Drosophila melanogaster: one gene and its partners. The protein of the gene in region 3 purifies or fractionates together with the protein of the main gene of each other region. This does not show direct contact. Each region holds a gene or a part of one and is shown on either strand. Other genes may lie near its edges.

What was found.
Region 1: the proteins of Ubr3 (region 3) and Cad99C purify together in Drosophila melanogaster (affinity purification with western blotting; one study listed by BioGRID). This does not show direct contact.
Region 2: the proteins of Ubr3 (region 3) and Rrp1 purify together in Drosophila melanogaster (affinity purification with western blotting; one study listed by BioGRID). This does not show direct contact.
Region 4: the proteins of Ubr3 (region 3) and Sans purify together in Drosophila melanogaster (affinity purification with western blotting, with the first as the bait; one study listed by BioGRID). This does not show direct contact.

Annotation. Positions count from the first base shown.
Region 1 is NT_033777.3:29,839,818-29,845,024, reverse strand, and holds the start of Cad99C (cadherin 99C), read right to left. Parts: upstream 3,369-5,207; 5' UTR 3,235-3,368; intron 2,301-3,234; exon of another isoform or gene 2,152-2,300; intron 1-2,151. UniProt on the Drosophila melanogaster protein: Cadherin that functions in epithelial morphogenesis and the intestine epithelial immune response. Essential for female fertility. Regulates the length and organization of apical microvilli in developing follicle cells and salivary glands.
Region 2 is NT_033779.5:2,968,925-2,974,246, forward strand, and holds Rrp1 (recombination repair protein 1), read right to left. Parts: upstream 3,585-5,322; 5' UTR 3,374-3,584; coding exon 2,332-3,373; intron 2,271-2,331; coding exon 2,193-2,270; intron 2,131-2,192; coding exon 1,790-2,130; intron 1,728-1,789; coding exon 1,068-1,727; 3' UTR 849-1,067; downstream 1-848. Other genes in the region: Ts (thymidylate synthase), read right to left, coding at 1-646; gammaTub23C (gamma-Tubulin at 23C), read left to right, coding at 4,135-4,183, 4,242-4,444, 4,505-5,322. UniProt on the Drosophila melanogaster protein: Plays a role in the cellular response to oxidative stress by promoting DNA repair mechanisms such as base excision repair and possibly homologous recombination repair.
Region 3 is NC_004354.4:7,934,099-7,939,042, forward strand, and holds the start of Ubr3 (Ubr3 ubiquitin ligase), read left to right. Parts: upstream 1-1,797; 5' UTR 1,798-2,870; coding exon 2,871-3,513; intron 3,514-4,944. Other genes in the region: RpS14a (ribosomal protein S14a), read left to right, coding at 1-172, 232-450; RpS14b (ribosomal protein S14b), read left to right, coding at 1,105-1,341, 1,401-1,619. UniProt on the Drosophila melanogaster protein: E3 ubiquitin-protein ligase which is a component of the N-end rule pathway. Recognizes and binds to proteins bearing specific N-terminal residues, leading to their ubiquitination and subsequent degradation.
Region 4 is NT_033778.4:12,934,829-12,940,989, reverse strand, and holds Sans (scaffold protein containing ankyrin repeats and SAM domain), read right to left. Parts: upstream 4,100-6,161; 5' UTR 3,901-4,099; exon of another isoform or gene 3,894-3,900; intron 3,375-3,893; exon of another isoform or gene 3,317-3,374; coding exon of another isoform or gene 2,720-3,316; exon of another isoform or gene 2,647-2,719; intron 2,591-2,646; 5' UTR 2,538-2,590; coding exon 2,515-2,537; intron 2,423-2,514; coding exon 2,279-2,422; intron 2,216-2,278; coding exon 1,994-2,215; intron 1,904-1,993; coding exon 908-1,903; intron 839-907; coding exon 673-838; 3' UTR 578-672; downstream 1-577. Other genes in the region: Mdr49 (multi drug resistance 49), read left to right, coding at 1-566; CG30487 (uncharacterized protein), read left to right, coding at 2,720-3,316; SCCRO3 (squamous cell carcinoma-related oncogene 3), read left to right, coding at 5,037-5,211, 5,290-5,427, 5,491-5,824, 5,881-6,161.

The DNA of each region.
Region 1 (5,207 bases), on a different chromosome or scaffold from region 3:
ATCTCATCGAGCGCCTAAATGGCCAGCTCGCCAACTGGCCGATCAACTTTTGCGGCTACGGCTGGCATACAGTTAGAACCAAGAGCTTGGGAGTTGGGAGCTGGGTGCTGGGAGTTGGCCATCCCATGCTGCGGCTTAGGTTTCTGCACATCCGTTGGCTTTCTAGCTTTCTGACTTTCTGCTCCATCTGCGATCTCCATTGAAGACTCGTTGGCACCAGGAGCCACTTGCATCGTATCCGTTACTCGGATCGTTTGTTTAATGAAACGGATCGGAGTTAATCTTCTGGTTTTCGCGCTCCCTCCTCGATCGCATCCATTGGATATAGATAGCACTGTCCAGAGCAGCCGGGTTCCGTTGTGCTGGTTAACCGAAACTCATAAAATAGGGGAATAAAGTGCGCGCTCTAATGAACAAAGCGAATTATTGAATTTCAACTATTGGCTGACAATTAAAATCCAAGCTGATGGATCTCTTATCCTTAGCCGCCACTGACAACTATTGTCTTCGATGGCCAATTGCAATTCGATTTACGCAATTAGCCAAATAAACCAATCAAAATACCCATGATTTCCCAACGATTTATTTAATTTCGCCAAAGTGTGCTGCAATCGCGAGTGGAATCAAACTTGTCTGCAAACGCAACTGCTGCTGAAATTATCTCCGAAATCATAAAAGCCCCGATCGCCCATTGCGTAACTTAAGTGCGAGATATCACATGGTATTGATATGGGGGCTTAAATGCTCCGTCGTGCCGTTCCTGCTTCCATTTGCGAGGAAATCGAGAAAATCGGGAAAATCGCGAAAAGCGCTGCAAGTCCTCCGCTTTCACTGGACGGTACACAAAATGCCATTTTCCATTTCCCCCGCATAAACAAAGGCGCGAAGCTGGAGGAGATCGGAGAAGGAGCAGGAGGAGCAGGAGCAGCCAGAGGAGGAGTTCGGCGGTGGCCACCACAGAAAGTCAGTTGCTGATTATGTTCAACCGGAAACTTATAGAAAAAGCCGAATGTGCCAAACTGGTTTGCAAAATAAACGAAAGCCGAGGTATCGCTTTGAATGCCTGTGTACTGTGTGTGTTGTGTGTGTTGTGTGTGTTGTGTGTGTTGTGTGCTGCTGGGTGCAGATTCGATATGCGGCAAACCTGTTGCTTATTGATGCTGTTTTTGCCAACATTTTCTAGTTTTGAATGTGGTACAATACGTAGCGAACTTAAATCTCAAATCTGCTGGAATGCGAACGATGGTTGCCACACAAATCTTAAATAAACAAGAAAGGAACGCCAGCATTTGGGCACCGAATGGCGGCATACCCTGGTCCACCTGGCCACTCGGCTCCCCTGGATGATCACTCGGATCACTTGGATCACCTGGATACATACATTCATGTATACACCATCGTTCTGTCAGCTCCAACTGCGATTGTTATGCTAATTCGCTGAGTGTTTTATTGTATTTTAATTTTATTGGACAGAGGACGCGCTCTTGGCCATACAAAGTATTTCTCCTCACGGATCCGTGAGATGTTTCATAATATATATCGAATTCTATCAGCATATAAAGTATCTCAATCTATGCCATTCATTTTGGCTGTCCATATATTTATGACTCCTGTGGGAGTAAATATATGATCGTCTTCAAAATGGCCATTTGTCGAGTTTAATGACTCAAAGTGCTTTAACATTCTAATCGTTCTAATGAACTCGACAAGTATCTTAGAGCCAATTTGCTGAGAATCATTTTTCCTGATGATTAATTTTAATGATTCGCCTTTTTATCGAGAACACGTCTAACGAAACTTAAGCAACTGCTGAGTAACATAAACATTCTACCATTATGATTGTCTTAATTGGCCAAAATAAGTTGAGTTTAGAATAATTAAAAACAAATCTTTGAATTTAGATGATGGCCAAAGACATTGAACTGCAAATTCTTGGGTGACAATAAAATTAATCGACCTGACTTTCCGCTGAAGAAAAAACGGTTAGGTGATTATGTTTTCTGCTTTATAAATGGCTTCTAGCCATTTAGCCAAATGAAGATTAATCTCCGCCGCCCGGAGAAAAGAACATTATTTCATCATTTTGCTTCTCCCCGCCTTTGGATGCTGAATAATTTAATAATAATAATACTAATAATACTCCGCACTTACCGTTTGGTCTAAAGATTAAATATTAAAGCAGCTCAAAGTATTTCAGCTGAGTATCCAACGTGAAAAATGGAGTCACACGCCGTTAACAAAGGTTATTCTTGGTCCTCAATTACATTTCGATTTACTATATTATTCAATAGATGTTGTATCTGCGCATTAAAAAACAGGGTTAAACTCGATTAAAAACACTCGCGACACAAATTTGAAGGTGTTGTAATACTTATTTTATGTATTTCTCTGTCATAAAATTCATATTGAATCCGAAGTTGATCATTTCGAAGTTGATGATCACCGGATCACCGGCTTGGAAGTGAGTTTTGCCGCACTGAAGTGAATTTTAATTACTGTTTGGAGGTTGCCCTCTTGGATTAATTATAAGCCATAATGTTTCGCGAAAAGCTGGCGAACAAAGCGGCGCGTGGGAGTTTGGTAGCATGTAGTAAAAGTAGCATGGCAAGTCGATGACTATCTACGTATGCCTGTACAGTGAACACGACTGTGTAAGTTTCTTACACAAATCTCGACATACGTGACCTCATTTGCCGTTTTTTTTTTGTTTTTTTTGGCTGTTTTATTGCTTGTTTCTTGGTTCTTGGCAAATGCCGCAGAAATCCCGGTCGATAAATGCGATTTGCTTAATACGGCGATCACGTTCACATTCCACATTAGTGTTCTATCCTTTGATATTCGGCAAAACGATGATGGTTTCGTTTGTTTTCTGTTTTCACTCCACTGTGAGTTGTGTTGGGTAAACAAAAAAACTGAAAAATTGGCAAGAGAAAGTCTTGCTCTCGGGGGTTAAAGTGGTGTGTACAAAGGTATGATTTTTAGATTTAATGATGGCGTGAAGGCTTTGTTTGCCTCTCGGGGCTTCTTTGTTATTTAAACGGAGCGCTATTTCGAGATATCTGCGTGGTATGCCCTTTTCAGGCTTCTATGGCTACAGCTTTAGGTTGCCTTGGATCCACCGGACACACCTCACACATCCACACATCACACGTCGCCACAAACGGACCATTCTGAACTTTACACATTTTCTTGAGAGATAACTCTTAAAAAATTAGCTCTTGGGCATATTCATACCAGCTCGAAAACCGGTATCGCGCCAGCCACCTTATAGCAATAGCGCTGCGTTGGGGCACAAGCTCATACTCGTCGTGCTACACTGCGCGAAAGTACGTGGTACGTGGTGTCGGCTCGGCGGTTGGATCGGTACTGTTTCGCTTTACCTGTCTCGCGCAGCAGCGGCAACAAGTGGGCGCTACCCGATCCAAGGTGGAACGTATTGGAATTGAGCTGGCATTCGCTCGCTTTGCGGTAAAACTGGTTTTTCGGGGGTTACTCGTTTGCCAGCTGATGGATACCACACCATACTCAAACACACACACACACACACACACACACATGCGAAAGGCTTCGGCTGTGGAGCACAGGTACTGCGATCCACGATCTGCAGGTGCATGTACATACACAGCTATGTACATATGTATATGTGTATGCTGCGCGGACAGAGAATCTCGAGCGGCTAACAGCGTCTGTTAAGTCAAAGGTAAATATGTAAGAGACCACCATGTTGCATTTTCATAGGAGTTGGAGCCGTGGATCGGGCTTAGAGTTAGCCAGCCAGGCCAGGAACCAGTTTTGGGGCTTCGGCTCGGCTTGTCGCTCGCTTTGTGTTTGCTTTTCTGTTTCAGCTGCACTGCAGCCGTTGCTGTGTAAGTTTTTATTAAAATGTTTTAGTCGATGTTGCCGCGATTTTGGCCGCTCACTCCACTCCACTGCAATCCACTGCAATCCACTGCAATGCAATGCAATCCGAGCTGCGATCCGGGGCATGAATGAAGTTCACCAAAGGGGCAGACAGCATTTTTGTACCTGTCAGGCGGGCAGGGAGTCGTCGCATATGCATATTCCGTTGCCATTGTACTGGGACAATGAGACAGTTGCACCCGGCTGGCTGGCAATCCGCGAAATTGGCATTGCCATCATGGGTAGGTGTTTCCATCGAACACCACCATCGAATACCACCATTTCCATTTCCAGCCGGATGCTGCCAGAACAATTGAGCCAATATCGTTATATTGGCATTGAAAGCTGCTCAGATCGATGGGATCAGCCAAATATGATAATTTGCGCAGATCTTGTTTCTCGAAATGTCAAAGCACCTAATTATAGCAAACATAGCATATTCATATGGCACACAAACTGTACGGTAAGATTAAGCCATGTGCTAAATGGCTATTAGCGGAGTATCTTCATGGTGCTAAACGCATGGGAGTCTGCCATCTTCATCACAACTGGCTGGAGGAGAAAGTGCAAGGGTTTTCAGCAGATGTACGTCATTAGCTCGTTTTACTGTTTGCTAACAAGCCAGTTGGCTGTTAGCTCCTCACCTGGCCAAATCCGCATCCCACTGGGTTGGGATTTAATTAAGGCTTAGCTTCTTTCGTTATTATAAAGAGGCAGTTTCTTGCTACATTTATTGGGGGTTCTTGGATTACCATAATGTCTGTGCTCTTCCGGCTTGGTCATCACTTTTACGATTCGAATGGCCCATTTTCGCGATAATTTGCCGATCGGCTTACATATGTCAAGTTCGAAAAAACAAAGTGCCAACTGTTTGAATTCGCTACTCTAACAGGAAGTTTTTGGATTATGAACAAGTTGGTTAGGAGGAGCTTGTAAGGTGTATTTCATTTTAGCCATTTATGCTGACATTTAACAAAAGTGTAGTTCAGTGACCCAAAGTTACACGCTGCTACTGGAGTTGTAGCCAAGACAGATTTGCTTGTGATTCTGCAAAATGTTTTTGGTAGTAGCAAGCTATATGCTGATATGCTCCATGAGTACCGGATATGAAGGTATCAAGCGAAATGTGTCAGCCAAAACTGTAAGGTTTCGCATTGACCATGCGCAAAAGCTCGAATTGCTGGTTGAGCCAGTTTAAAATCATTTTTGCCTTCCTGAGAATTTTCGATTGCACAAACGACAGGTGCAGCATAGGCAAAATAAATTGTGGTGCATAGCAAATATCGTTTCGAAAATGCTTTATTTCA
Region 2 (5,322 bases), on a different chromosome or scaffold from region 3:
GCTCACCGCGCTTCTCGGAGACGTAAAACTGCGCCAAGCAGTGGCACGGCGGCAGGGCCATCTTTGGGATGTCCAGTGGATTCCAAGCCGACATGATGATGCGACGGTCTGAGGGGTTATTCCTGATGGTGTCGATCACCTGGCGCAGCTGGTCGATCCCCTTGCCGCTGTAGTCGTCGTCGCAGGTGCCGTACTGCGCCCCGAAATGCCTCCATTGGAAGCCGTACACCGGCCCCAGATCCCCAACGGCTCGCCCCGTGAACCCCATCTTGTCCAGAAATTCTCTGGAGCTGTTCCCATCCCAGATGTGCACATTCTTCGCCTGCAGCAGCTTGGCGTCCGTCTTGCCCGCCACGAACCACAGCAGCTCCTCGGCCACCGCGCGGAAGAAGACGCGCTTCGTGGTCAGCAAAGGAAAGGAGTTCCGCATGTCGAAGCGCATCTGACTGCCGAACACGGACAGAGTGCCCACCTCCGTGCGGTCCATCCGCTGCTCTCCATTTGCGATGATGTGCCTCAGAAGATCCAAGTAGTGCATCTCATCCCGATTGACAGGGGCCTGCTGTTTACTTGGTGACTCCCCATTGTCGGCCGGCAACGGCATGCTCTCCTGGTCGGGCCCATCTTTCGTTGGTGTTAAAACCATTTCGCAAAAATAATGTATGTATATATTTCCCGCAAAATAAATCGAGTTCTGCTCGAAAATTGGCGGGAATTAGTTATTGCTTCGGTTCGACCCGATAGGCAAGCGATTACATTTATCGATGTCGACCGGTTATATCACCTCTAGCGATTTTTAAAAATTTAAATCCAACCGTTTTTGGCCAATAATTTGAGCACAAAGTTCGAACGTGGGGCAGTAGCTCACTTTATTAAAAAAATACGAATTTTGATGGTGGATCTATGACAGAATGTAATAGAGTAATGGCATTTTGAAATGATTAGATAGGGACGTACAATTTCTACAGCGATGGATAATCAAATACAATAAAAACCATATATGGAGAGGAAACAAAGTAATAATGACGAATCCAGAAGTACATTTAAACACAAACGAAGTGTACATCTTATATATTGAAGAATATTGTGATCGGGCAGTGGTCGCTTCCAAGGCATTGGCTGCGTATCTCGTGCTCCACCACCTTGGGCACGAATCTCTCCGAGACGAGACAATAGTCCAGACGCCATCCAACGTTGCGTGCTCGCGCATTGGCCATGTATGTCCAGAAGGTGTAGGCGCCCTTGCGATCGGGATATAAATGCCTAAACGTGTCCACAAAGCCGAGGCCCAGCAGCTCTGTCATTTTGTCACGCTCCTCCTGGGTGAAGCCGGCATTCTTGGTGTTATTCTTCGGGTTTTCCAGATCAATGGGCATATGGGAAACGTTCATGTCGCCGCAGATGACCACCGGTTTTAGAGCGTCCAGTTTCTTCACGTACGCCTGGAAGAGCTTTTCCCAGCGCATGCGGGGCTCCAAGTTAACCAGCTTTCGGCCTGAATTCGGCACGTACACATTGATCAAGTAAAACTTTTCGTACTCAGCCGTAATCATGCGCCCGACATCGTCGAACTCCTCATTGCCAATGCCGTATTCCACGTGTATGGGCATTATCTTGCTGTAAATAGCGACGCCGGCATAGCCTCCTGGCATGCACAGCCAATAGGGATGATATCCCGGCAGTCGGGTCACCTCCTCTGGCAACTGATCGTTTGCGCACTTGGTTTCCTTTAAAATATATGGAATTATTAGTGTTTTTCAATTTTGTGTGGATAGCTTTGATAGCTAACCTGCAGGCAGAAAATGTCTGGTTCCTCGAGGTCAATCAACTGCAGACCATCCTTTTTCAACCAGGCCCTCAGACCGGCCACGTTCCAGCTGCAGATTTTCAAGTTGAATTCTTTGTCTGCTGGCAAGGCAAAAGCGTCTTTATCCAATGTTACAGTGGTTTTGGTCTCGGCCTTCTTGGCTTTTTTGGTGGCTGGAAAACAAAAGTTGAGCATGGTTTGCAAGCTTTTTAATACGGCAGCTCCACCGCAGCCGGATTGCTCCGCTAACATACTTTTCGATCCACTCTCCTCATCGACATCGGGTTCTTCAGCCTTCGCAGCCGCCTTTTTTCGGCCTCGAGCTGCAAATAGAATATGATTAGCGTGGCATTGATATTAAAGTTATTGTTGACAATGTGCCCACCTGGTTTACTTTCCTCTGCTGCCTCCTCAATATCTTCGACATCCTCTGCCTTGACTGGAGCCTTTTTCCGTCCTTTAGCTGCGGATTAAAGATAGTTAATCATGGTTTCATCATTTACATTGATTTGACAGTTTCCCACCTGGCTTGGTTTCAGTAGAGGGCTTGGCTTCTTCTTCAACTACACCGTTTTCCTTATCGGCGGATTTCTTCTGCTTCTTCCCGGGTGCTGGCTCCTTGCCTTCCTTCTTAGCGCGCTGTTTAGTGGGCTTTGCCTTGGTCTTTGGCTCAAGTTCTACCGCAGTCTCACCATTGGTTGTTTTCTTGGCGCGTTTCTTGGGTGCAGCTGCAGTTTTTGGAGGCGATTCCACTTCTTCTTGTACTGATTGAAAATCTCCTACAGTCTCGGGCGATGGCTCAACCATCTTTCCCTTCTTTGCTCGCTTGCTAGCAGCCTTTGGCGGCACCTCATCCACTTCCGGCTCATCGAGAGCAGCTGCGATCTCAGAATCTGCCAAACGCTTGGTTCCGCGTGCCCGCTTGGCAGCTGTCTCAGCTTTCTGCACCTTCTCTTTGCTTATTGTCCCTGGTTCAGCTTGCTCCTTTAACGTTGGTACTGCTTCCTTTCTTGCCCGTTGTTTCGGCGGCTCTGCTGCTTCCTCGGCCCCTCCATTTGCTTCTGCCGGCAGCTCCTTTCGCTTCCGTCCTTTGGCCTGGGCATTCGTTGGTTTCTCAGCCTTAGCGCGTCCCTTAGGCGGTGAAGACGTCACTTCGTCAGGAGCAGGAGTGGGCTCTTTTTTGGCACGTGGCTTAGTTGCCTTTCCAGCTGGTAGATCGACTTTGGGTTCTGGTTCTGCTTCTGCAGTTGCCTTCTTGGCGCGTCCCTTCGGCTTGGCCACCACCTCCATCTGGCCGTTTTCGTCTGTATCCTTCGGCTGCTTCTTCTTGCCACGCGCGGCTGCAGTGGGCGCCTTTTGTGGCTCGACTTCCTCGGAGTTTTCCGCAGATACAGCCGTCTTGGTGGCTTTCCTCGCGCGCGGCTTTCCTTTTGCCGGCACCTTGAGTTCCTCAGCGGCAGAGTCTGCGTTTTCGTCGACTCCATTCCCATTGGCATTTGGAGTGGGGTCAGTGGGTTCAGATGCCAACGCCTCTGCTTGTTTTTTCACGGCCTTGACACGCGGCATTATGGAGTTCTACTGCTCGGACTGATAGGTTCTCAAAAATGACTTGTATTTACTTCCACAGATTTCCAGCTTTTTCTTTTGCTTGTTTTGCAGAGCCACTGTCGCTTGGTTCAGCACCCGATATCAACAAAAAGAAAACTGCGCGGGCAACGCGATTTTTGCAAGCCGGTCGGCTTGACTTTGGTCTGCTTACAACACTATTTGTGTGCCTTCCTTGGAAAAACACGACTGTGGAGCAAATATTGCACATTGTGACGTCACTAGTAGTACAAATAGTTCGACGTCATTAGTAGTACAAAATGGGTGGAGCTCAATAACCTAATTGAAAAACTTTCTTATAGAAAATTATATTCAAGTTAAGCTTAGTATTGAACTATTAGATTGATATTCATGACATGTTTCGATCTTTCTAACTCATAGTCTTAGATTTCCAACACTTTTTTGCCTTTCCAAAATACAAAGTAGAAAAATGTAATGTTTATTTTTATTTATTTAATTCACAATAAAGGTCTTAAGTAATCATATATATTTTATAACAGAGGGCACACTGCGCCACCTTTCAAATGAGGACGCCATTAAACGCTGCGGTGTTATCAACACTGGACTTTCTTAAAATTACAAAGTACGTCCCCGCTGTGGGATTTTTTAAAAATTTTGTTATAATTCGACGATCTTTTAGTTGTGTTTTATTTTATTTCGACTAATTCGACCTTAAACGCGAAACTTCACTTGACGATTCTGGCCGGAAACAACACACCACAATGCCAAGTGAAATAATTACTTTGCAGCTTGGGCAGTGCGGCAATCAAAGTAGGTTTCTGAAATCAGGACGAGTACCATCTGCATTGCTAAAATCGTTTAAACGCAGTTGGCTTTGAGTTCTGGAAAAGATTGTGCCTGGAGCATGGCATCTCCCCTAGCGGCGTGCTGGAGGACTTTGCCAATGATGGCTTGGACCGCAAGGATGTGTTCTTCTACCAGGCGGACGACGACCACTACATACCCCGCGCGGTGCTCTTGGACTTGGAACCGAGGGTGATCAATACCATAATGGGCTCGGTCTACTCCAAGGTGAGTCCTCTCTAAATAACTTTTAATTTTTTGCGCCAAACCTACTATTAACTCCCGTAGCTCTACAATCCGGAAAATGTGTACCTATCCAAGCACGGAGGCGGTGCGGGCAACAACTGGGCCTCAGGCTATAGCCAGGGCGAAAAGCTGCAAGAAGAGGTATTCGACATCATTGACCGTGAGGCAGATGGAAGCGATTCGTTGGAGGGCTTTATACTTTGCCATTCGATTGCTGGCGGAACGGGATCGGGAATGGGCTCCTTTATCATGGAGCGCCTGGCGGACCGCTATCCCAAGAAACTTATCCAAACATTCAGTGTGTTTCCCAATCAGGACGAGATCAGTGATGTAGTGGTGCAGCCATACAACTCCATGCTCACCCTGAAACGTTTGACTACGGCTGCGGACAGTGTGGTTGTCCTGGACAACACTGCTCTTAATCGTATTGCCTGCGATCGCTTGCACATTCAGAATCCCAGCTTTTCGCAGATCAACAACCTGGTCTCCACCATAATGAGCGTCAGCACCACTACGCTGAGGTATCCATCCTACATGAACAACAATCTCATTGGGCTGACGGCTCCTTTAATCCCGACGCCCCAGCTGCATTTTCTCATGACAGGCTACACGCCGCTGACTAGCGATTCGGATATCCATACCCAGCAGCTGGTTAATGTGCGAAAGACTACTGTTCTAGATGTAATGCGGCGTCTGTTGCAGCCCAAGAACATGATGGTGTCCACTGGTCCCGACAAGTCAAATCATCACTGCTACATCTCCATTCTAAACATTATCCAGGGCGAGGTGGATCCCACTCAAGTGCACAAGTCACTGCAGCGCATCCGCGACCGCAAGATGGCCCAGTTCATTCCCTGGGG
Region 3 (4,944 bases):
CGACGGCGAGATCGTGTTCGGAGTGGCTCACATCTACGCCAGCTTCAACGACACCTTCGTCCATGTCACTGATCTGTCCGGCCGTGAGACCATCGCTCGTGTCACCGGAGGCATGAAGGTGAAGGCCGATCGTGATGAGGCTTCGCCCTACGCCGCTATGTTGGCCGCTCAGGTGAGTTGTGCGCTCTCCGGTCCAGTTGGAGCCCGTCTAACGGTTTCAATTCCCTCCAGGATGTGGCTGAGAAGTGCAAGACACTGGGCATTACTGCCCTGCATATTAAGCTGCGTGCCACCGGCGGCAACAAGACCAAGACCCCCGGACCCGGCGCCCAGTCCGCTCTGCGTGCTTTGGCCCGTTCGTCCATGAAGATTGGCCGCATCGAGGATGTGACGCCCATCCCATCGGACTCCACCCGCAGGAAGGGCGGTCGCCGTGGTCGTCGTCTGTAGATGGCAGTATCTGGAAAGCAGTAGTCTATGTTTGCGGTCGAAATACAATACTGCATTTGTGTATGCGATAAGAAAGCTTTTCTGTTCGTGTGCATAGGTGCACTGTAATAAACCAGGAAAATACGATGTAAATGACTACAAGACATTTTTGTGTGTGCATTGGGTTCGGTTTGGGGTCTGCAAGTGCTGCAATATTTGATTTATAAGGACATTGGCGAAATGTTTACAAAAATTGCACATTACAAGCCGAAGAGTTGCCACCCTGGCGTGCCCAACGCGGTGGTAGCCCGATTGCGCCATCAAAGTAACTATGCGTCGATAACTATCGCATTACCAGCTGTGTTGTTTTTGCCTTCTTTTTTTCGCATCCGGCGCACGCAATTGGTTGGTTTTCTGCTATTTCTCCCTTTTTTTGTTCAATTTTACTGCAATTGACTTATTTGGCGGCAAAAGCGAAAAGTTGCTGCTAAATATGATTCAGTGATTTAGCATAAAATGAAAAATTTTGCGGACGCCGTGAAAGTGGTGGCGAATTAATTTGTTTCTCCCCCATTTTTTTTTGTGTTGTTTTTTTTTTTGTAGTGATTTGAGCCGGCAAATAAACATGGTGTTTTTTTCTCTTTTAGTTGCTGATCGACGACCAGACTCTGCAGAATGGCTCCAAGAAAGGCTAAAGTTCAGAAGGAGGAGGTTCAGGTCCAGCTGGGACCCCAAGTTCGCGACGGCGAGATCGTGTTCGGAGTGGCTCACATCTACGCCAGCTTCAACGACACCTTCGTCCATGTCACGGATCTGTCCGGCCGTGAGACCATCGCTCGTGTCACCGGAGGCATGAAGGTGAAGGCCGATCGTGATGAGGCTTCGCCCTACGCCGCTATGTTGGCCGCTCAGGTGAGTTGTGCGCTCTCCGGTCCAGTTGGAGCCCGTCTAACGGTTTCAATTCCCTCCAGGATGTGGCTGAGAAGTGCAAGACACTGGGCATCACTGCCCTGCATATTAAGCTGCGTGCCACCGGCGGCAACAAGACCAAGACCCCCGGACCCGGCGCCCAGTCCGCTCTGCGTGCGTTGGCCCGTTCGTCCATGAAGATTGGCCGCATCGAGGATGTGACCCCTATCCCATCGGACTCTACCCGCAGGAAGGGCGGTCGCCGAGGTCGTCGTCTGTAGAAATGGATCGTGCCACCCGCTTTTGACGCTGCTTTATATTCTTATACTATTAAATACATGCATAAATGCAGTGGCAAGGGCATGTTTTTTGGGCTCATGTGTTTCATTGTGGCCAGTGGCAACGCGTCGTTAGGTGGTGCTATCGATAGGTGATGGTTGGGACCACCAATGGTATGTGCAGGTGTAGAGCGGTCACACTGGATGAAATTCAAGACCTATCGATATCCTGATATACACGCCAACGAAGACCGTGTGTGGATTCGTGGAGCAAATCGAAGTTGGCAGGATTAAAGGCATTCGCGAACGCAGAGGCAGCAGCTAAAGGGCCACCCATGCACCAAAGAAACAAACTAGCTGGCCCAGCGGTTCATTTATCTGCGACTAACAAGCTAAAATCGGCGTAATTGGCAAGTTCAATGCACGACTAATATATTTGGCCACACTTGCCAGTGTATGTTTGTTCGTGTGCGTGCCTGTTTGTGTGGTGTCGTCTCCGTACGTGTTTGTGTGTGTGTCCGCGACGAGTATGTGTGCGCACATATTCGTATATCTGCAAGACTCGCGGATGAAACAGCGTGAAAAGTGAGCAAAATATCGGGGAAAAACGGCACGGTACGGCCACAGAACGGAACGGTACGGTGCGATACGATATCGAGAAAAGGCCATCAGCCAGAGTACTCCTCGATCCGGAAACGGATAATGGGGATATAGATGATACAGCCAATAGCTCCCCGAAAGCCACAGCACACAATAGGTCGGTCGGTCGGTCGGTTGGTTGGGCGACGTCGCCGAGAGTTAAACATCAAAAATCAAACCCAGGAACCGACGGAGCTAAGTGTCAAGTGTTTGGTGTTGTGAAATTTTTCGTTTCCAGCTCTCCGTTCAGCGTTCAGCCAATTTGCCAACCTTTTCCCCTCTTTAATTTGTTATCCCCGGACACCACAAGAGTTTCGATCAAAATTTTCAATTGAACGCAACATCGCCATAAACAAAAACATAAAGGTAAAATTCGGCCACTACCCAAACAACAAAAAAATAAAATCATAAGAAAAAATCACGCAGTAACGTAGAAGAAGCAGCAGCCGAAGCCGAAAAAAGACGAAAAGAAAACTTGTTTGAAAAGGCCGAACCGAAAGAAGAAAAAGAGCAGCAGCAGCAGCACAGCGGCCAAGTTTGGAAGAATTTCAGAATTTCAGCGTGCTAGGAACGGAGCAGCGGACCGGCGACGTCACCAAATAAACGCCCATCACCATGGACGAGGATGACAACCTGTCCAATGCCGACATAAGCATAGATGACGAGGAGGTGGTGCGGGAGCAGACCCACCATCCGCCCATGCAAGAGGATCAGGAGCTGGATAACGAAGATGGGTCATCCGACGTGGATCTGTCTTCGGTGTACGTCGTGCCACCCATAGTCTCGGCACCATCGCCCGCATCAGTGCGCATCGCTGGTGGATCCACAATTGGTGGCGGAGGGGTCGCAGCTGGAGCAGTTCCAACAACCACCGATAACTCGCATTCCCCCTTCCACGATTGGGATTCCAGTGTGGCGGCCGCTGCTGCTCCACCGCCGCCACCGCCCAGGACAGGACCAACTACAACTACAAGCTCCGGCACAGCCGCGGAATCGGGAGCCGCGTCCGCCTTATCCGACGATGCCGGCGCCAAGCCAAGTTTCTTCTTTGGCGCCTCCTCGTTCAGTTTGCGCAGCCGCAAGGAGGTGGCCGCCCTGATCAACACGGAATGCTGCCGTGGCAGCCCCACACCCGATCTCGACTCCATAATGGATACCCTATTCAATCCGGGGACGCCCATCGACAATCTGGACAACATCGAGTGGATACGATGGCTCATTGCCGGCGGACGGACGCCGCAGGAGTTTGTTAAAATTGGTACGTCCCAATGTGTGCATATCGATAAGTGTGTTGCATTTTCTATCGCCAAACAGCTGATCGCAAGTCCGTTGCCCCTGAAACTCTGACCGAGCATGTGTGTGTTACCTGCGTTATGTGTGTGTGTGTCTGTGAAATGTAATGGTTGTAGGGCACGCAAAGAAAAGGTAGAGAGGAAGAGAGCATAAAAGCAAGGTGCAAGGCAGCGTGAAGAGTGCGAGTGCACCACCATGGCAACAGCAATCAAGCGCACTCTCTCGCACACACAGCACACTCACTACACACACATATGCACTGATTAGGGGAGTCAACTTTAGCCCAATTTAATCTCAACTGCTCATCTATTTGCAATGCTGTATTTGTGCATAATTTTCATCACTACTTATTACTTTTTGTGCCAGGCTGCGTATGTCGCCAAAGTTGCTTTTATCGTTTATGGTTGTTTGTCGCGTCTAGTCTTGTCTTGTCTTGTCCCACTTGTCAGCTCTGTCACACGCACACATACACACACTCGTGCAAACTGGCGGGCGGAGACGTACACGCACAGTGGAATGCAGCTTGCACCTTGTGGCTTTGTATCAGCTGTTTCGGTACGCCTTGCGTAATAAATGTTTCCGCAGCATCCGTCCCAAAACCACACGAACACGAATGTAGATGGTGCTTGATTATATGATGGCACCTTTTGTCACCGCTAGGTGCTCCTTTTTTTTTTTTGTGTTATATTTCTTTCACCTTTTTGTTTGTTACTCGTTGCAAGAACAATTGCAAAATTGCACTGGTGCGGAAAAAGTTGATTGACCGTCATTGTTGTTGATTTGACAAAAACACGCACAGTGGTCGCGAGGGGCGGATGTGATGTGGCCCACTGTAAGCTGTCAACGGCAATTGACCGAAAGACCGTTATGTTATTGGGTGGTGTGTATGTGTGTGCGTGCGTGCGTGTATGGGTGAGGGTGAGAGAGTGCACCTTTTTTCCGTTCCCATGTCATGTCACCTCCCCTTCCCTTCGCCACACCCTTGCTCCTCCATTCGGACCTTGTCCAAAAGTTCTCAGTTAGAAAGAGACTGCTGAGCCAAGATAGTGAGAGCGAGAGAGAGTTGCTAACTTTCCGTTGATCGATCGCTATTACAATTTTACAACATTGTCAATCAACTTTCCGCTGCACTGTGGTTGTTATTGGCCAATCCATTCGATTTCCTTCCGCATGCGGCGGCCGACAACGTTGACCTTTTTAGTCAACAAGGTCCGAGCGGAATACGTACATACATATGAACATACATATGTGTATAAACTACGAAACATAAAACAATCGTATGTACATAAATACATGTACATACGCCCCAGAACGCAGGCCGAAGACAAAAAATCAAAGAGTCACGCAACTAAAAGCAAGAAATTAACTAAGCAATGAGTGCATCATTTTATTTTTG
Region 4 (6,161 bases), on a different chromosome or scaffold from region 3:
CGGGATCCGTGAATCTGAGCGGAGTGCCGAGCACGGAATTCCCGTTGGACACACTGCGCTCCAAGCTGGGCCTGGTCTCGCAGGAACCCGTGCTCTTCGATCGCACCATTGCCGAGAACATAGCTTATGGCAACAATTTCCGTGACGATGTGTCCATGCAGGAGATTATTGAGGCGGCCAAGAAGTCGAATATCCACAACTTTATAAGTGCTTTGCCCCAAGGCTACGACACCCGACTGGGCAAGACATCGCAGCTCTCTGGAGGTCAGAAGCAGCGCATCGCCATCGCTCGAGCCCTGGTTAGAAACCCGAAGATACTCATCCTGGACGAGGCCACCTCTGCGCTGGACTTGGAGAGCGAGAAGGTGGTGCAACAGGCGCTGGATGAGGCGAGATCAGGCCGCACATGCCTGACGATTGCGCATCGTCTGACCACCGTGCGGAATGCGGATCTCATCTGTGTGCTAAAACGCGGCGTGGTAGTGGAGCACGGCACCCACGATGAGTTGATGGCACTGAACAAAATCTACGCCAATCTCTATCTGATGCAACAGGTGTCGGGCTAACACAGCGAACTGGAGTGATAATTGTTAGGCTTTAATTTAGTATGTACACTAGGCTAATTGAACATGTTGAAGTATTACAAAAAAAATAGAATGATTAGGCCAACTACTACAGTCGACTGTCTACCAGGGGTCCGGGATTGGCCAGGGCGTTACGTCTCTCCTGAATGGCGAAGGTGAGTTTACGGAATGGCCCCAGTGGCAAGCCAAGTGACTTAAGGTCCGATTCTGTGAGCAGCATCAGAGTCTCCAAGTCGATCTCTTGCTTCTGAAATCTGAAATGGTAAAGGAGGATACGAGTTGAATACACATACATTCCAGACAAATTTGGTTTTGTTACTCACACTGGCAGGTATTCTTCCAGGGCCCAAACGGCCAGGAATCGCTGCAAGGCACTTCCTCCGGCATCTCGGTCGTCGTCGTCATCATCGCTATAGATGTCATGACCGCCGCCCTCCGAGTCCGTATCATCCGAAAGGTTCAAATATAAACGACCCTTTCCTCCGCCATTTCGTGTCTTTGGAGGATTGCTGCCCGCATTCCGCATCGTGGAAGTGGAACTGGTGTCCGTGTGCAGTTGAAGCTGACTTAAAGCAGCAGTTACGGATCGACGAAAGGCAATGCTGCCCAGCATGGTGGGTCTATCGAAGAGTCCAACGGGTCTCTGGAGGGTCACTTCCTCGCTTAGTTCCTGGGTCAACTGACCATCCCCCAGAATATCCGGTTGGGAGAAGGAACGCGCTAAAGTAGAGCTATAGCCACTGCGGTTATCGCTGTGGTCCAACTCATCGGCCTCCATGCACTCAAAAACATCGCTGATCTTGCCGCGCTTGCCGACACTGTCCTCGTTGGAACTAAAGGTGCCCACATACAGCACCTCGGAGTCTCTCTGCAGACCCGTAAGCGATGTAATGGTTCGCTTTCCATCTGGCTCCACCTCGCGCACCTTGAAGCCACCGTCTGTGTCGCTGGATATCTTCGAGTGTGGACATGTGCTGCTGTGCTGCTTTTGGAGCTGCGACGGTCTCTTTTGCACCGTTCCCGCTCGACTGGCTATTGTGGAGCCACCGCTGCTGCTGCTACCGTTCCCAACCAGATCGCTGAACTTTGTGGGAGGCGGTGTATCCCTTGGTGTCTTATTTAGATTGCCCTGGCTGGACCAGATCTTCTGCTTCAGAGTGGACAGCATGTTGCCGGTCTTGCTGGAGCCACTGGGTGCGCTTAGATCCGAATACTCCGGATCCTGGCGCTGTTGCTGCTGATTCTGGCGCTTCATGTACTCCCTAACACGTTTCTCGCAGTTTTTCTCGGCCAATTCTTTCAGGGCCTTGCTTTTTTTTCTGTTAGTTGAAGTATTAGTTTTAATATATACAAAAAATAAATTATGCAAACAAAAATGCAAGCAAGTGGCAGATATTTCATAAACTTACTTTTCAGTGGCCTCAAAGTTTGTGAAGGCAACATCCAAGTAGCGCAGGATCTCGTCCCTGCCATTAATAGCCGCCAGATCCTTGGCGCTGTGCTTATCGATATCCAAGGCATAGATGTTTACTCCGAATTTCACCAAGAAGTCGACGCAATGCAAATGACCCTTGGCGGAGGCCAAGTGCAAGGCTGTGTTTCCGAACTGATCGCATTTGTCAGGGTCACCACTGAAGGGAGAGGAAAGGATTATCTTCAGTGGATATAGAATTATCATTTAAACGAATGCGTACCCCCTTCCGCACAGCAGACGCAGTGCATCCAGACGCCCCTCGAAGGCAGCCCACATGACCGGCGTCATGGAATCACTGTCCTTGGCATTCGTATCCTTCCGTGTGGCTGCTGCCAACACATCCAACAGCCCATCTTTGGCGGCTCTAAACGGAAACGATTGTACCAGAAAGTTAATGAGTCTCTTGTGCATCACCATTGGTGATAAGATAGAGTCAAATTAATTGCATGTACCCACTTGTGAAACCGATCCGATGACATATTCGTCTGTGTTATCTTTCAATCAGGTTGGCGATGGAAATTCTTGAATCGATCTGAAAGGAATCCAAGGCGAGATGAGTAGGCTGTTCATTATACTTGCCATTCCTTTCCATCACACATCTCAAGATTCTCAAAATTAGGTCACACACATAAGCGCCAACAATTCTTTACAATTAAAAAGCATGTCTATAGAAAAAATCTCCTCCGAGCTGCGTAAGATGATAATATCTGACAATCCAATCGAAGCAACAACTTTCGATAAATCTGCAATAGAGGCAACTTTGGATTCCAACAAATTCGAAGATCTACGAATTCCGAAGCATACACTGAAGCAAAAGTTTCTTCTTCGAAAGTCAATAATTGAACATCCCTTTAAAAGAATTCGTGCCGAAGGAGTGGATTGGGCTCACAAAATTCGAGACACCGACGAAGAGAAGGAATCTAATTGGGCAAAGATTGCGACTGGAAAGGTTTCTGGCAATGCCTACGATCTTAAAACCATGATGAGCGAGTGTGAAAATATTTGTGGTTACGGAAACGCCATAAACTTGACGGTCCCAAGGGTGGACAAACTACAGGATCTGGCTAAATCGATCCCAACGGATCCCGATACAGTCTACCTGACCTGTCAATGTGATGATATTTTCTCTAATGGAGGCACAGAAGCTCCGACTCAAAGCCCCGACGAAGTTAATTTCGAAGAGCTGTCCAGCTACTTCGAAAATATGCTCAACATACCCAAGAATCTTCCGCTCAGCGCTGAAATAATGTATACTTAATGATTGGAACGGTGTGTGTATTGTTATATTTAGAGTAAAAAAAGATATAAATCATTTTAGTTTACGGTTTTCTCATTTTAGATGTGGTGATGTTAGGTTTGGATCCCTATATATGCATATACATATGTACAATGTATGTATCAGATCGACTGATTTCCGTTTTGGTGTTACTGGTACCAAATGTAGACGGGGTTTTCGTACTTCTTGTCTTACTCCACTTTTTAATGTGCTTATTGTGTGGGGCTGGCCAATTAAAATAAGCCCGAAGATGAGCCAAATTCCTAAGCCTAAGCATATTGCCCTTTTTCCCAGCACTTGTACTAACGTTCACACGTTTCGAATTAATAATCCAAAAAAGAAAAAGAAAAGTGTAGCCGCCGCGAAGAATCACAGGCCCACGACACACGCACACAAGAAAACATTACCCATTTACTGCGCACGACGGAGTTTGGCTTACATACCAACGACCAACTACCAAGTTCACTCAACCTTGTTGGCTGGTTTTCGAATTGCCCAAAACAACCGAAAATCGAGACAGTCAACCATTTACTTATTTACCACGGGTACACACACTCACTTATTACCAGTTAGTTGTCCCGGTTCAAGACGACTTTTCAAATGCAGGATTTCAAATTGGATTTTCCCACTCCGGGCAGCTTGACACTTTTCTTTTTAGCCAAACGAACCGAAAGTTTTCATCTGCGATCGGTAGAATATGCACGTTCCGAAAGCCGTTACCCGGAAGCACTTTCTACCGCTCCGACTGCATGTTGTTGAATGAAATTGTTAGCTTTGCTCAAACTCGGCGCTCACATTACGCACAGTGGTCGAGAAAATGATAGATGCTGCTTAGACGGCAACTAAATATTTTAATGGGAAAAATTATGTATGCTAATGTTTTGTTTTAAATTTCTTAACCAATAAAGTAATATAAAGAATATAAATTAATAAAAACATTGTATTGAACGTATTGGTTCAATAATCGTATTTGAATATAGAATAATTTGTACGAAAATATTTAAGGTGTGAACTACTGTGCGGAATCAACTTGTATGTCCTACTGTGACTCTCTTCGACGATAGGGTGTTGCCAGACTGAAGTTGCTACGACTATCGCATCAACTAACGTAGAGCACTGCAGCCCTGGTTGACTAGTGCCGCCCTGGTCCGATTGCCAGAAAAAAACAAGACAAGTGAAAAAGCGAGATAAATCAAATTAAAAATATTGTAAAAAATTGTAGTTAAACACGCGCTGGAGCACGGTGAACTGAAAATGTGAATGAAAACCATCAATAGAGAGAGACGAGCGCGATTTGGTGGCACCAAATGCTGCAGTTGCAACCTGCACATGTATGTGTATACGCGTGAGTGTGCGTTTGCGTAGGAGGCACCAAAATAACAACAGCAATCGCAGTGACAACAAAGAATCGGAATCGGAATCGTACTTGTTTGTACTCGCACAGGACGTACTTGGAATCGGAATCGGAATAGCCACTACCATATGCCAGAGGAGGGAATCGCAGTGCCAATGCATAGTTAATAAATTTCCCAGAAGCTATACGACCAGCAGACCTCAATTGCAATTGCACGCCCCTTGACAAATCACAGTGTCTCAGCCAAAACGAAACTGGAAGCCATCGAGTGCTCCCGTTAAGCAAGCAACTGCAGGCGGAGCACGGGGGAGGAGTAGGACCTGGTGGTGCACCAAGCACGCCCGCACTATGGGCAATTGCCTGAAATGCTTCCAGTCTGCCGCCGAACAATCGATGCCAACGAACGCCTCGTCCCCCAATTCACACAATTCCAATTCCAACGCCTGCCAGACGGCCACCAGCCTTGCAAATTGCTACGAATCGGTGGGCATTAATCCCAATGCCAACGAGCGCTGCGCCTTAGGTGGGTATTCTATAGTTAATAACCGCATTGTGATCCAAAGTCTAAGAAACCTCTCTTATTCCGGCTTATGCACTCTAGAAACCGATGAACTGCTCTCTAGCCGAACTCCACTCAAGCCAGCAAAAGCAAACAATTGTGATACTAAGCGTAATAGTTTTAAGTCTTTAGGTTTGCTTAATGGCAGTGCGCCCACCATGAGCGATATCATAACAACTGGTGAGTCAGCGTTCATTCGACTGCCTTGGCGGCATACTCATTCGATTTTCTATATTCTAATAGCTGTCCAGGAATCGATGGAGGTATCGCACCAAACGCTGAGCAAACTATTCGATGTGTACAAAGATCCCGACGACGAGGAGATGATACTCACGGACGGCATCGAGCGACTATGCAATGACCTCAACTATCAGCCCGATGAGTTCGCAATTCTCGTCTTGGCCTGGTGCCTGGATGCCTCGCAGATGTGCCGCTTCACCAAGGTGGAGTTCATTGAGGGTCTGCATAAGATGAGGGCGGACACAATAGACAGTATCCGGGTGCGGCTGGAGCAGACAATCGAGATGCTCAAGGCGGACGCCGAGATGTTCAAGCAGTTATACCGCTTTACATTCCGGTATGCCGTTCTTACTGCTTGGAAGATCAGTACCTAATTAGCGTCTCAAATTTCAGATTTGGTCTGGAGCCCGATCAGCGCGTCCTCTCTCTGGAGATGGCTATTGACCTGTGGAAACTTGTGTTCACTGTACAAACACCTGATCTCTTCTCCAACTGGATACACTTCCTCGAAAAGCACCCGAATATTCGCCGCATACCGAAGGATACATGGAACATGTACCTCAATTTTACGGAACAATGTGATATACAAAATTACGATGATACCGAAGCGTGGCCCAGCCTCTTCGACGACTTTGTCGACTACGAGAAAAGCCGGGCGCTGGTTTCCTCGGGCA